Mus musculus: one gene and its partners. The protein of the gene in region 2 purifies or fractionates together with the protein of the main gene of each other region. This does not show direct contact. Links are inferred from orthologs where the notes say so. Each region holds a gene or a part of one and is shown on either strand. Other genes may lie near its edges.

Region 1 (4,952 bases), on a different chromosome or scaffold from region 2:
TAGTTCTAGGTACTTTATCCACTGGGCTACCCCTTCCTTTGTGTTACTAAAGACAGAATTCAGGGCCTCTCACAGTTTAGACAAGTGCTCTGTTAGGACTATACCTCCAGGATCCCTTTTCTTAAATTTGTTGTTGTTGTTAAGTTTCCTAGGCTGGCTTGAATCAGTAATCTTCCTGAACCAGGCTTCTAAGTAGTGGACACTCCAGGTGTATCACCATATCTGACCTAAAGCCTCACTTTTTTTTTTTTTTTTAACTTTTTAGGGCTTCTTTCTTCCTTCCTTTCTTCCTTTCTTTCTTTCTTTTTTATTGTTGATGTTGTTTTTCGAGACAGGGTTTCTCTGTGTAGCCCTGGCTGTCCTGGAGCTCACTTTGTAGGCCAGGCTGGCCTCGAACTCAGAAATCTGCCTGCCTCTGCCTCCCGAGTGCTGGGATTAAAGGCATGCACCACCACACCCGGTTTAGGATTTATTTCTTCTGCATGTGTGAGTGCTTTTCCTGCATGCCCATGATGCTCAGAAGGCATCAGATGCCCTGGAACGGAAGCTAGGGATGTTTGTAAGCTGCTATGTGGGTACTAGGAATTGAACCTAGGTCCTCTGTGAGTGCTCTTAGCCACTGAGCTATCTCTTCAGCCCCCAAGAACAACCATGAAAGAGAGAGAGAAACACTGCAGGACTAAACCTGACATTCTCAGATTACTACGGGTTGTGAAGTTTTTCTAAAATAACAGGAATGATCAACTGGGGGCTAGGTCAAGCTGTAATGCTCTGACTATTGATGGACAAGGAAAAAAAAAAAACTCCCCAAAATTTGAAATTTGAAAAAGATGAGTTTTGCTTTTCTTTTTCGACATGGTACTACACACACACTGTCTTTGAATTGCTATATAGATCAGTCTGGTCTCCAACTTTTGATTCGCCAGTCTCAATCTCCCTAATTCTGGATTACAGGCACGTAGAAAAAAAATTTTTTTAAAGAGCAAAACAAACGAAAAACCTCTTCCCAGTTCGGAGGATTTGTCCCCCTCCCCTTGAACTCACCGGCAGTTTAGTAAGCGGTGCGTTGCTGACATGTTTGCCAAAAACCTCTTCCTGAAACTGGAGCAACTGCACCACCAGGCTGGACAGAGACTTGTTGGTTGGCGGTTCTGCTTGTATGTACTTGGGAAGGAGGGAAGGGAAGAAAAACAGATTCCAGATAAATTCTCTACCACCACCCACGTCTCTCCGTGAGTTCCTGGAAGCACCTGGAACAGACAGAATTGCGCCTTCCCCTCCACAGGTCTAGTTTATATATAGAGGGCTTCAGGAGGGACTGGACCCTATTGCCACCAGCCCAGGTGACCGGGACTGAGGACTGGCAGCGAGTGACGCTTTATACTCTTCCTTGGCTGTACCCTGACGTTGGAATGGCAGGACACCGCTATCTCGGCACCTCACCTCCAACCAACTGTAAAAATTCTGAAGGTTGATGGAGCTCAAGGGAAACAAAAACCCCTTTGAGTCTCTAAGTGATACAACAATGTATTTCTTGGGGGAAACATGATAAAGACTAGGCTTCCGTCCATAATGGTGTGTTAAGAGAGCAAGGGAGTGAGGCAGGACATGCTCACTTAAAAACTAAAGCCTGCACATTTTGCTTCTACTGAAGCCAGGCATGGTTGGCATTGTAGGGTCTCCTCTCTAGCAAGGATCTCAGACCACCCACCCAGCTTGATAAATAAGTAGTAAGACAACCGCCGGGAATCCGTGAACTCAAACACTTCCGTACCATACCTACCTTGCTACCTGGGATCCTACCTTTCTGTTCTGTTCACTGAGCCAGGAAGCTACTTTCTCTTTACCTTTTGACCCTTATTTCCTCTACCCTAATTAGAGTCAGCACCTCTCGGTGGGAGGTATAAAGAGATCCGTGAAGGGAGAAGTAAATGACAAAGAGTTAAGCACTTGAAAGCTGAAGCAGGTCACAGCTGTCAAAGCCTTCGGGGCTTCACACCAAGACCCTAGACCGATCTCCCTTTAAAAGGTCAAAGGCAGAAAACTGGGAACCAGAGCCTCACGCTGAGGGTGCACACAAGTCACAGACCCAACAGCTGTTTGTCAAGAGTCTGACACCCAACAGAGAGACCCCAAATGGTTTCAGGGCTAAACTCAAACCAGAATTAGTGGAGCTTTCTGAAGCTGTCCACTGTACTCTGACAGGCTGGCTGCAAGGCTGGAGTAGCAAGAGTTGGGGGCTGTAAAACAAAGCAAGGGAAAAGAACCCTTAGCCGGGGTTGGTGAGGAAGCAGCCCATATCGAAGACAAAAAAGAAAAACGAAAAAAAGCCCAGACACCATGAAGACACAAGAATAAAAATTGGTTAAAAAAAAAAAAAAAGATAGATAGGGCTTCTTGAACCCTTTTGTTCCCCATCCTTATTTCCAGTTACAGGGTGGGGGTGGGGACTAGCGATATGAAGCTTATCCGAGCCTCTGGACCTCAAACCCAAAGCAATGCCAGGCTGGCTGGCTTGCAGAGGACTTCATTATGAAAGGAGGGTTGGAGGGGCTGCTGCCCTAGACTGCCATGTCCTGTCCCCTGAGAGGTTTGCAGCCCTTTAGAAGGAGACTAGGGTAACCCTGGGAGACAGGTGATTTCCCCAGGTAGAGACGCTTTTCAACGGCCTGCTCCGCGCCCGTCTACCCTCCTGCTCTGCCATCTGTCTCAGGACGTACACAAAGCACCACCGGGGAGGCCTGGGCCGCTCTGGCGTCTGGCTCGGCGCGGGGCTCCGGCGGGGGCCCCGCGGCTCGCACACCGGAGGGGAGGAGGCGCGCGGCGGCACCGGTCAGCCTGGAGGGCGAGGGCTGCCGGGCCCGGGCCGCCGCCCGGAGCCGCCGCCGCCCCCGCCAACGCCGCTGCGCTGCACCGGGGCAGAGGGCACGGTGGGGGAGGGGTGGGGGAGGGGCGCGGGCGGGCGGGCGGGAGGCGCGGGGAGGCCTCGGGGAGGGGCGCGGCGGCCGCCGCAGGGTGGGCCGGCCCCGGGAGCGGCGGCCAGGGGCCCTTTGTCCCCGCGCGGCGCTGCCCGCGTACCTTCTTGTAGTTCTTGCCGAGCCAGAGCCGCACGTTGTCGAACTGGGTCACGGTGTCCGCGGCCTCGTAGTACTTCACGTTGGGGCCGCCGTCCTTCTTCCGCACCGCCATCTTCTCGGGCTCGGGCCCCGCCGCCGCCCGCCCCGCTCAGCTCAGCTCCCGCCTCCTCCTCCGCCCGCCTCCCGCCGCCTCCCGCCGCCACGACCGCCGCCTCCCGCCGCCTGGGCCCCGGCCGGCGGAGCGCCCCCTGCCGGCGGCCCTGCGTAGCGGTGGCGGGCGAGCCCGAGCGCGCTCGGCGGACACCCCGGCAGCAGCGGCGGTGGGAGGCGGGCGAGCCCGAGCGCGCTCGGCGGACTTCCCCGCAGCGGCAGCCCGGCTGCTTCCCCGGGTCTCGCAGGACGCGGCTGTAGGACAGCGGAGCCCTCCCCGACTTGGTCTCGCAGCGGCAGTGGGGCTTACTGTTCCACTCCACGGGGAAGCCGGGAGCCCCGGGTCTGCAGCTCCGCCCCGTAACCCCGAGTGGCCCCCGGCACGTACGTTCCCGTGGAACTCTTTCGCTCCAATAAGTTCCTTCCAACCATTCCTGTTTCAACCCACGAGTGTCCCTGACGCTCCTCGTCCCGGTGCACCCAGCACCCCTGGTGCTACCCGGGGGGGTCAGGTGAGGGGTCTCCTCCCTCTGATCTTCGGGTCTCGCCAGTCGCCTCCGCTTTAGGAGTCGGCTGGCGAGCCCCGATTCTTCGACCCAGGTTCAAGCATTGTGGCGCGAAGGTGCGAGGGAGGGAGCGGCTCTGGGTACGAGCCTCGGGCCGCGACCCTGCACCGGTCCGCTCGCACCCAGTCACCCGTGCGGACCCTTTCTGTAAGCGCGCGGCCAACCATAGTTTTGGGAGTCACGGTGGCCGAGTGGTTAAGGCGTTGGACTCGAAATCCAATGGGGTTTCCCCGCACAGGTTCGAATCCTGTTCGTGACGGCAGTTTTTCGTATTTTTTTTCCCCCCTCCTATTAACCAGTAGTTGAGTGGTTGAAAGTGAAAAGGCAGCACTACTCCTTTAGGTTAGACCAGGGTGACATACAAACCAAATTGGGCATCGCTGTATTCGCTGTTAGGATACCAGGCACTTTGAGATATTTTTGAGAATTCTGTAACATTTCATAACAATGAAGAGTAGTCGTTTTGTTTGGGAAAGCTAGTCAAACCTAAGATTTCTAAACAGGGCATCTTTGGAGTTTGTGACCAAAAGTGGAGCCTTGAAGTCTGGTGACTGGAGACACAGAAACAAGCGTTTCTCATTTGGATTTTTCTTTTTAATTTAGACAGGGACTCATGTGCACAGGCTGCCCTTGAACTTGCCTTGCAGCCAAGAATGACTTTAAATTTCTGATCCTCCTGCCTCTACCTCTCAAGTACTAGGAGTTACAGGTGTGCCTGAGCATGCCAGGATCCTTTGCGGCTCGGAACTGAATCCAGGGGTTCAATTTGTTCGATAGGTAAGCATTCTGTTTCGCTACATTCCCTAGCCCTCATTTGAGTTTTCCTGAGATAACCTCAGGTATCACGGGACTAGGAGGAGGCCTACGTTGAGGATTTGTTGGGCACCAGAGGCTGGTTAAAATCTGTGTATATTAACCAAGCAAGGGAATTCCTTTCTCAGGCTCTAACCCTCTCATGTTACCCAGTTCTTTTTATATTTCATTTCTTGCATAGCAAAACCTTCTCCAGGAAAGGATCTCTGAGAATTCATGGAGCTCCTGGTTTTGGTTTTTGGTTTGTTTTTGGGTTTTGTTTTTTGTTTTGGTTGGTTGGTTTTTTGTTTTGTTTTGTTTTTTGAGACAGGGTTTCTCTGTATAGCTCTGGCCGTCCTGGAACTCA
Region 2 (3,425 bases):
TTTCTCTATACGTGTTGCCAAAGGGAATGCTATGTTTATTTTCTGCTATTTTATGTTTTGAGTATTTCTAGAGTATAAATTTCAAGTGACTATCTCCAGAGCCGATAGCAGTGTTAATGTTATATGTATTCAAAAAAAAATGTTTGCTGAATTTATTTTGAATGTAATAGTCTCTAGAATAAAGTATCTGGGCTCATTCAATCTGTGAAAGACTGTTATTGAATAACGTTATTGACTAAGACGGAGTTCTGTCCAACAGTTCAGGGACACCACAGTCATCCCAGTTCTTTAAAACAAAATAAAACAAGGTGTCTGCTCCACAGTGGAGCTGTGGTGCTGTGGTGACCTCTGCTGACTCTGGGGAGGTGGCTTTCAGTGTCAGGCAGGCGGCTCCCTCTGCTCTTGGCACCTGCCTTTGGGACCTCAAGGATCCTACCACTCACCAGCTCTGTGCTGAGCTCATCCTGTGCTTAATACTGGAAAAAGGTCTTATTCTGGTGAATGATTCAAGAGATAAAAATGCAGAAAAGTCACAAAGTAGAAAAGGGATTAGTAGCTGGGCGGTGGTGGCGCACGCCTTTAATCCCAGCACTTGGGAGGCAGAGGCAGGCGGATTTCTGAGTTTGAGGCCAGCCTGGTCTACAAAGTGAGTTTCAGGACAGCCAGGGCTACACAGAGAAACCCTGTCTCAAAAAAAAAAAACAAAACAAAAAACAACAACAATGCAAGGGGCCCCCAGGGAACCTATTAAGATGAAACAGTACAAAGCAGTCATCCTTACTTTACCTCCACACAAAAAATTCCCCTCCCCAGGCAAAAATGACAGCACGCAGAAAGGAAAGTATAATTTATATGTACAACCGATAACCTGATACAGAAGAAGGGATTGGGACAGACCAGGAGTGGGAGAGAAAGACTGGGAAAGGCGGCAAGGAGGATATGGGGGTTCCCCATGCAAACTGCCACTCCCTGGCCCCTCCTTGGAGGGGGAATGTGCCCGAATCTCCCTAGCCTGATATCCACTGTGTTGCTCGGTCCCACAGGCAAGACAGGCTCCTGACTAGGTCCCTGGCCTGACCTACTCAAATTTAGTCTGTATCCAGGCCTTGAAGAGGGAGGATTTCGTCCCCTAGAAACCTGAGCCCCAGCGTGGGGGTCTGCCCCATGCCTGGCCCTCTGTGTTCCCCCCACCCTTTCTAGGTCACCTAGAACAGGCTGGGGAGCTCCTCTTTGGCTTGAGGGAGAATCACCCAACCCTTACTCTGTGGGGTGGTCCTTGGTCCCTGGGGAGGAGAACAGTTCCTACTGCAAGATGCTGACACACAGGAGGTAACCGAGCCAGTGAACAGCAATCAGCTCGCTCTCTCTCACTTGTAGCTGTTGTACCCTCCATTTGGAAGAGGGAGGAAAAGTGCCATGCAGCCCCCCCCCCTTCCCTTCCTCCTCCCGCTATTTTCATCTTTGTAACAAGGTTCCCCTCCTCTTTGATGATCTCATAGAAGTTCCTAAAGGCCGGGCAAGGCTAATCCCCCACTTTGGCAGGAGGTGGAGGTGATACTACAAGAAAGGCCTGGGAGGCTCCACCTCCTCCCTCCCGGACAATCATTTATTGGGAAGCTGTGTATATTTGGTGGTGGGGCATCCAGGTACTTGGAAGACCCTGTTAACCATCTCCCACCTAGACCTCTTCACACCAGCACAGTCTTCAAGGTTTGGTGGGAAAGGTGTGTGGAGGTGGAGAGAGATAGGGGTCCTCTTGAAGGGAGGCATTATAGAGGGGCAAAAGGGCTCCTAGCCCAGTGGTGGCCCAAGGGGTGGGGAAGGTGGAGGGTTGGCAACAGGCCCCAAGGCCTGAGATGTGGGTCGGCTCCGGGGTCGGGGCCTAGGTGAAGGGCAGGCCTGGGATCCAGTCAGTCGTCTATACAAATCACCTCCCCTGCTCGGGGCTCCTTCCGATCCAGCCCCAGCCCGTCTGATACCAACGCCCCCACCATTTCCTTCTCTTTCTTCACCAGCACTGGAGGGCCGTTGGTGGTGGCTGTTTGGGGAGACAGGTAAGAAAAAGTCAGCCCCCACATTCCAAATATCACTCCCTGAGAACAACCTATCCTTACTGCTAAGTCATTTCCTGCCACTTCTGATTTTTCTTATAAATGTAGAAGGATTAGATTCCTCTTGTACCAAGATGTGACAGGTCTAACTCTCTGGCTTTTCTGAATTCACATTCACTTCCCCTTGAGGAAACCAGGTAGAGGAAGCTCAAGTGGGCGATATGAAACCATACGATGGGTAAGGCTTTTGCTTTCTTGTTTTTTTGAGACAGGGTTTTCCTACATGGCTGTTCTTGAACTAGAACTCACAGAGAACCACCTGTTTGTGCCTCCCAATTGCTGGGATTTACTGTGTACCACCACACCCAGCTGGTTTCTTTTTGGAGCTAGCATCTCACAGAAGCTCAGGCTAGCCTGAGGACTCTCAGGAACCCTGCTCTGCCTCAGCCTCCTGGTTGGGGTTGTTGACATGGGGACAGAAGGGATACAAGGGGATGATGGACAGAACAACCCAGAACAACTCTCCCTAAAACACTGGACACTGACAAGGAAGAGGAACAGGTCTGAAGCAAGACAGGGGAGTCAAGCAGGGATGGAGTTTGGATAAAGTCAGGGAGAAGAAGGCACCAGAAGCACCGTCTAACCTGTGATGAAGGACCCTGCAGGCATCTGGCTGTAATTGGCGCCTGCGGCGGCCAGGGCCCCTACGGGTGCGGCGCTGAAGGCTGCCCCGTACCCCGGAGGTGTGGCGTAAGGACCCGGGGGAAAGGCCTGGAATAGGAGAGCAAACTGGGGTTATTAGGGAGTCCACAGTTTGGAGGGGAAAAAAATGAAGCTCCAGAGTTACTAGGCAGGGAGACTCGGGATGCAGACCGTGGGGAGCAGGCTGCTTCCCTCCACGTGCAGGATTCTGATGGAAGGTTTGTGTATATGTACAACGGGCACCGACAGGAAAATGAGTTAGGGAAAAGAGGGTTACCGGTGTGGGGTGAGGCTCCGTGCCCTTGCTGGCCAGCCGGCTGAGGATGCTGCGCTCGGACATCTGAAGGCGGGCTGCGATGGGGGGTATTCGGGACAGCGTGGCTGGCAGGCGGGTCACATCTGCCTTCATGTCGCTCAGCAATTCCTCCAGCTGGTTCAGAACTGGGGCCCGGGCCACAGAGAGAGAAGGGCAAGAGAAAGGTGGAGAGAAAGATGGAGCCAGAAAAAGGACAGTCAGATGGACAAGTACAGTCAGGAAGAGAGGACACAGACATCAGAGGACCACAGGCCAAGGACAAAATGGCAGAGAGTAGTCAGGAGAAGAGTGATTGGGAGGAGGAGAGCAGCAGGCCACACAGAACAGATGGAAACAGAGAAAAAGAAAGAGTATGG
Region 3 (4,890 bases), on a different chromosome or scaffold from region 2:
GGGCAGGTGTCCAAACTGTCTGCAGCCCTGCAAGTGGCAGGCAAGGTGAGATCCAGGCAAACCTCACCCGCTCCTGGCACAGCTGACAACCACCTCAAATGACCTCCCATACCTTTTCTTATTGCTGTTCTTGCCTGTAGCACGAAGTGTTTTGTTCTCAGATTTGGACAGCAACACCATTTTGCAGGGTGGTATGTGTCTGCTGATGGCGATGGGCCTGCTGACCGGCACAGGCTTGCTGACCACAATGGGCCTGCTGACTGGTACTGGCTTGGTGAGTGGCACAGGTTTTGAAACTGTCACAAGCTTGGTAACTGGCATATGTTTGGTGAGTGGCACAGGTTTGGTAATTGGGATGGGCTTGGTGACTGGCACAGGCCTAGAGACTTGCATGGGCCTACTGACTGTGACAGGTTTGGTGACTGGTATAGGCCTACTGACTGTGACTGGCTTACTGATGCCAATGGGCTTGCTGACACCCACTGGTTTGCCAACAGTAACAGGTTTGCTCACTCCGATGGGCTTGCTGACCCCAACAGGCCGGCTGATGGTGACCGGCCGGCTGACTGGGCCAGGCTTGGGGGCAGGTAGGGGGTGGTCCATGTGATTCCATATCCGGTGCTTCTCCAGCTGGGTCTTGGAAGTGAATGCGGCCTCGCAGAAGGGGCAAGGGAAGGCCAGCCTATCTGAGATAGCACCCTGGGCAGGGAGGGCAGGTGTGGGATGGGGCCCCGGGGGCCTCTGCCCAGATGCACCCCCAGGCCTCCTCTTCCCTGGCCCACAGCCCCTTACCCCTTGGCACCGCTGATAGTGGTACTTGAGCCCATAGATGCTGGGGAACTCTAGCCAGCACCCTGAGTTTGGACACTTCACCCTTGAGTGTGCCTTGAATTCATCTTTCCACTGGTTCATCAGAGAGAGCTGGGCAGAGGAAAAGGCCAAGCTGCTGACCTGTAGCTACCCAGACTTAAAGTTCCCCCAAGCCAAATAAGCCCTTCAACCTCAAGAGCAGACCAGGAATTCAAGCCATGCTGCAGACCTATGCTGATGACTACTCACAGCCCACTGGGACTTTGTAACAGACACAAGGGCCCTAGGGTACATGCTCAAACAAACTGGCACAGGATATATGGAGGGCTGGTAAGGGCATGGAAGTGGCCTTCACAGACTAAATTGAATGGACCCCACTCTAACCCTCAGGGAGCTCACAGGAATATCTCGGAGAGCTTGGTTCTCGGCTTTCGGCCTCCCTTTTTTCTTCCCTTCTGTCTTGTCACTGGCTGAGTTTCCAGGGTCAAAGCAGAGTGGGGCCTGGCTAGGCACTGTATGTCCACTGTGGACCACTGGCATCCCTATAGTACAGGAGACAGTAAGGCTCAGTGGTTGCCCAATATCACCGACCCCCAAGGGCGGTGGCCCAGACTGAGTCTTGGCTCACCCAGATAAAGGCCCAGTGGCTGGAGTTAACCCAGGACAAGAGCATGGCTACAATAAGGCTGACAATCTCCACCCCACAAAGGTCCTCAGGATACCCAAGGAGGTAACTCTACCACTGGCTATCTGTATCCTCTAGAACTGATTTCTGCCTTAGCTCCTCACCTAGCTTTGGTGGGTCCTGCAACAAGGGAAGTTGGGCCTCCTTCCGGCTGCCTCCCTTTCCAGGTCCACTTTTGCTGGATCCTTGAAGCCGACGGCCTCCTCCAACACAAAAGGATTCAGTCATCTCTGCAGAGTAAGTACACAGACCTATGAGACGAACAGGCTCAACCCAGGACTTTCACTGGGGCTATCCTAGAGGCCCTCAATATGTCTCTCTAGCCCTGACCTCCTATATTGATCACATCAAAAAGCAAGTAATGGAAGCTTCTAACTTAGAGAAGGGGGTTTGCCCAGACAAGGTCTTTCTAAATAACCCAGAAGACATGAGAAGTGTAGAAAGAGCCAAGACTCTTACTACATTTGACACCCTCACCTACACCCTCATCTAGACACACAAAGACCAAAGGCTGCTGAGGATCAGCCTGTCTTCAGAGGGTCCACGCAATTGAAGAAGACTGATAATATTCCTCATAGGGGACAATTAACACTAGTAATGGTTGCTGGCTCACAGGCAGCCACATCACCACACCTCAGGGATAGCTTCTCCTCAGAGTCCTGGCCCCTGCCATCTAGATACACAATACTAACCTACTCAGATAAGAGCCCTTGAAGACCTCTCTCTAGGCAAAGAAGCCAATATGGGTCCTGAAGGCCCATGTCCCCACCACATGCACTCATCCCTCTGGTTGGTAAAGTGAAGATCCACTAGAAATACACTTTAGTCCCATGCTGAGCTATCCTACCTGCCTGCCTTCTCAGCCTTCTGTGCAGACAGGGCCCCTCCACCCAGATGAATACACCACATCAGACCCTCAGCCACCACAGCCTAGGCAGCCACCATTTCTTCTTATTTTCAATAGCTTCTAGGTTCCCTGCCTAGGAAGCCACTTCAGCTAAACAAGTTATAGTCAATACTGGCAAGCAGAGGCTATAGAGTATGCATGCTGCTGCCCTGGGGTTGGGCCTCTGGGGACTGTTCTGCTTGCAGCATCACATACCCTGAAAACCGAGGAAGGCTCTAAGCATAGAATGGTGAGGCCTCGCAGAGGCACCCAAAGCCACAGAAGGGGGCGGTACCAAAGAGCAAGGTTCAAGCAGGTGAGTCCTCTCCTAACAGTTTTTGATCAACTCAAATCAGAGGGGATGTGTAGGGGCTGCGTTATCCAGGAGGTCTAAGGTCAATCACCGTTCATTGCCAAGGACAACACCCCCATCCTGGGCCTAGGGGAGGGGAGGGGAGGGGAGGGGGGGTCTGAAGTCAACTAAAGTTCTCTGGATGTCCTCGTTTTGCAGCTTCATAAGGAAATGAGTTATCCAGAACCCCGATTACATTTGAGGTCCGGGTTATACGGCCTGCTGCAACCTTCTAGTCTTTCAGAGTTAGGGGTAAGGCCTGGCCGCCGGAGTAGGAAGAAAACCCCTCCTCCACCTGGGGTCCCTGCGATCTCCCTTGTAGCCTCCAGGGAGGAGGGCGCTGCCGCGGACGCAGGCCACTCCGCCCGGCCCCGGACGAGCGCAGCCAAGAGGCGCACCTGGAGGCCCGTGGCCACCCACCTGTCACCTGAGGCCGGACGCGGGCTGCAGCCTGGCCCGGAAGCGCCGACCGCGGGGGGGCGAAGGCAGTGAACCAAAATGGCGACTTTTTCTGGAGGAGGAGGCGGGAGGACGGCGCCGACGCGGGGAGCGGGGCGCGGCGCGGGTCCGGGCGCGGCGGGGAGGCGGGCTGGGCACAGGGCTGGTGCGGGGCGCGTGTGGCGCCGGGGCCGCGGTAAAGCGGGCAGGGCCGGCGCTTACCTGCAGCGCCCAAGGGGTGCGGCCGGGCCAGGCCGGAGCCAGAGCCGGGCCGGGGCGCGGGGCGCGGGGCGCGGGGTCCGGGCGGCGCACACTCCGCGCCGTGCTGCGCACATGCGCGCTCCCGCCCCTCCTACCTTTGACAGTTTTACTGCGGGGGGGAGGGGGGCGAACTCTCGCGGTATTCACGCGGCCGCCGCTGCGGGGAAGGGGCCGGTGGGGCCGTTCCGCCGCTCCGGGCAGTGCGGTCCGTGGCCCAGGTGGTCCTGGCCTCCAGGGCCGAGCGATCGGTCACGCGTGCCTTGGGCAAGAGTCGCTTTGTGGACAGTCCAGTAAACTGAGGCACGTCAGGAACTCTGGACACTACCGCAAATCCTGCCTGACGGATTAAGCAACCGGTGTGGTTGCGCTGGCTGAAGTAGATCCTATGAAGGGTTATAGGACATCTGTAGGCTGTCAGGGGGCACCTCAGCCTCTATCTGTCCCTTAGGCCACCTTAATCTAGACACGAAGACCGATAGGCCTTATTGCGGTCACTGGCTATTGAATCAACTTCTCCCTTCTTTGTGAACAGTGTGGTCCTAGACCAACAGCCAGTAAGTATCTAACTTCTCTGGCCCCGAGCCTGGGCTGCTAGTGTAAGATCTAGGGGGTGGGTGGGAGGATGACAGCACAGCCCACACAACTTGGAAATAAATGAGGCAGAGAAATAAACACCCTTTTGACAGACTAGGAAGGGGAAATAAATGAGGCAGAGAAATAAACACCCTTTTGACAGACTAGGAAGGGCCAACTGGCTGATAAGGAGGTAGAATGCAAAGCCTGGGGCTCCACAGGAGCACTCAATAGGGAAGGGAAAAATTCAGCTTTCATTTGAGTCATAATACTGTTACATGTTCTCAGCCATGCCCACTGTTTTTTTTTTTTTTTAAGATTTATTTATGTTATGTATGTGAGTACACTGTAGCTGTCTTCAGACACATCAGAAGAGGGCATCAGATCCCATTACACATGGTTGTGAGCCACTATGTGGTTGCTGGGAATTGAACTGAGGACCTCTGGAAGAGCAGTCTGCGCTCTTAACCACTGAGCCATCTCTCCAGCCCCCCCCCCCCACTGTTTTTTCTAAAACAACTTTTCACTATGTAGCCCTTTGTAGACCAGGCCAGCATCAAACTCAGAGATCTGCCCGTCTCTGCCTCCCATATGCTGGGATTAAAGACGTCTTTTACCTTTTGTGAGTCTCCCAGGATGTGGAACATCAGACTGTTGGTGGGGATCAGTGTGCACACAAAGGTGTGTTCAACTTTCCCTGTGTAAGTCTGAGTTTTCACAAGTGTGATATACCAATGCCCATAGGTTATTACATGTCTAAGTGACCATGTGTTATCAGGTGGTAGTCATATATGGGCATCATGATGTAGGTGAGGGCACTACATTCCCTGAAGCTGTGAACTGCCTGAAGAGGGTGCTGGAAACTCAATTCTGCAAGAACAGCAA

The links. Proteins that work in one complex are often made in the same cells at the same time.
Region 1: the proteins of Chd3 (region 2) and Smarcc2 fractionate together in Homo sapiens (co-fractionation; 3 studies listed by BioGRID, with this or other methods). This does not show direct contact. The link is inferred for Mus musculus from reciprocal best matches to the Homo sapiens genes CHD3 and SMARCC2.
Region 3: the proteins of Chd3 (region 2) and Zfp512b purify together in Homo sapiens (affinity purification with mass spectrometry; 3 studies listed by BioGRID and IntAct, with this or other methods). This does not show direct contact. The link is inferred for Mus musculus from reciprocal best matches to the Homo sapiens genes CHD3 and ZNF512B.

What each region holds. Positions count from the first base shown.
Region 1 is NC_000076.6:128,457,564-128,462,515, reverse strand, and holds the start of Smarcc2 (SWI/SNF complex subunit SMARCC2), read right to left. Parts: upstream 3,202-4,952; 5' UTR 3,190-3,201; coding exon 3,079-3,189; intron 1,165-3,078; coding exon 1,045-1,164; intron 1-1,044. UniProt on the Homo sapiens protein: Involved in transcriptional activation and repression of select genes by chromatin remodeling (alteration of DNA-nucleosome topology).
Region 2 is NC_000077.6:69,342,441-69,345,865, forward strand, and holds the end of Chd3 (chromodomain-helicase-DNA-binding protein 3), read right to left. Parts: intron 3,195-3,425; coding exon 3,031-3,194; intron 2,823-3,030; coding exon 2,696-2,822; intron 2,039-2,695; coding exon 1,911-2,038; coding exon of another isoform or gene 1,792-1,910; 3' UTR 833-1,791; downstream 1-832.
Region 3 is NC_000068.7:181,589,261-181,594,150, forward strand, and holds the start of Zfp512b (zinc finger protein 512B), read right to left. Parts: upstream 3,202-4,890; 5' UTR 3,161-3,201; exon of another isoform or gene 3,154-3,160; intron 1,726-3,153; 5' UTR 1,724-1,725; coding exon 1,600-1,723; intron 1,353-1,599; coding exon 1,210-1,352; intron 922-1,209; coding exon 793-921; coding exon of another isoform or gene 700-792; coding exon 113-699; intron 28-112; coding exon 1-27. UniProt on the Homo sapiens protein: Involved in transcriptional regulation by repressing gene expression. Associates with the nucleosome remodeling and histone deacetylase (NuRD) complex, which promotes transcriptional repression by histone deacetylation and nucleosome remodeling.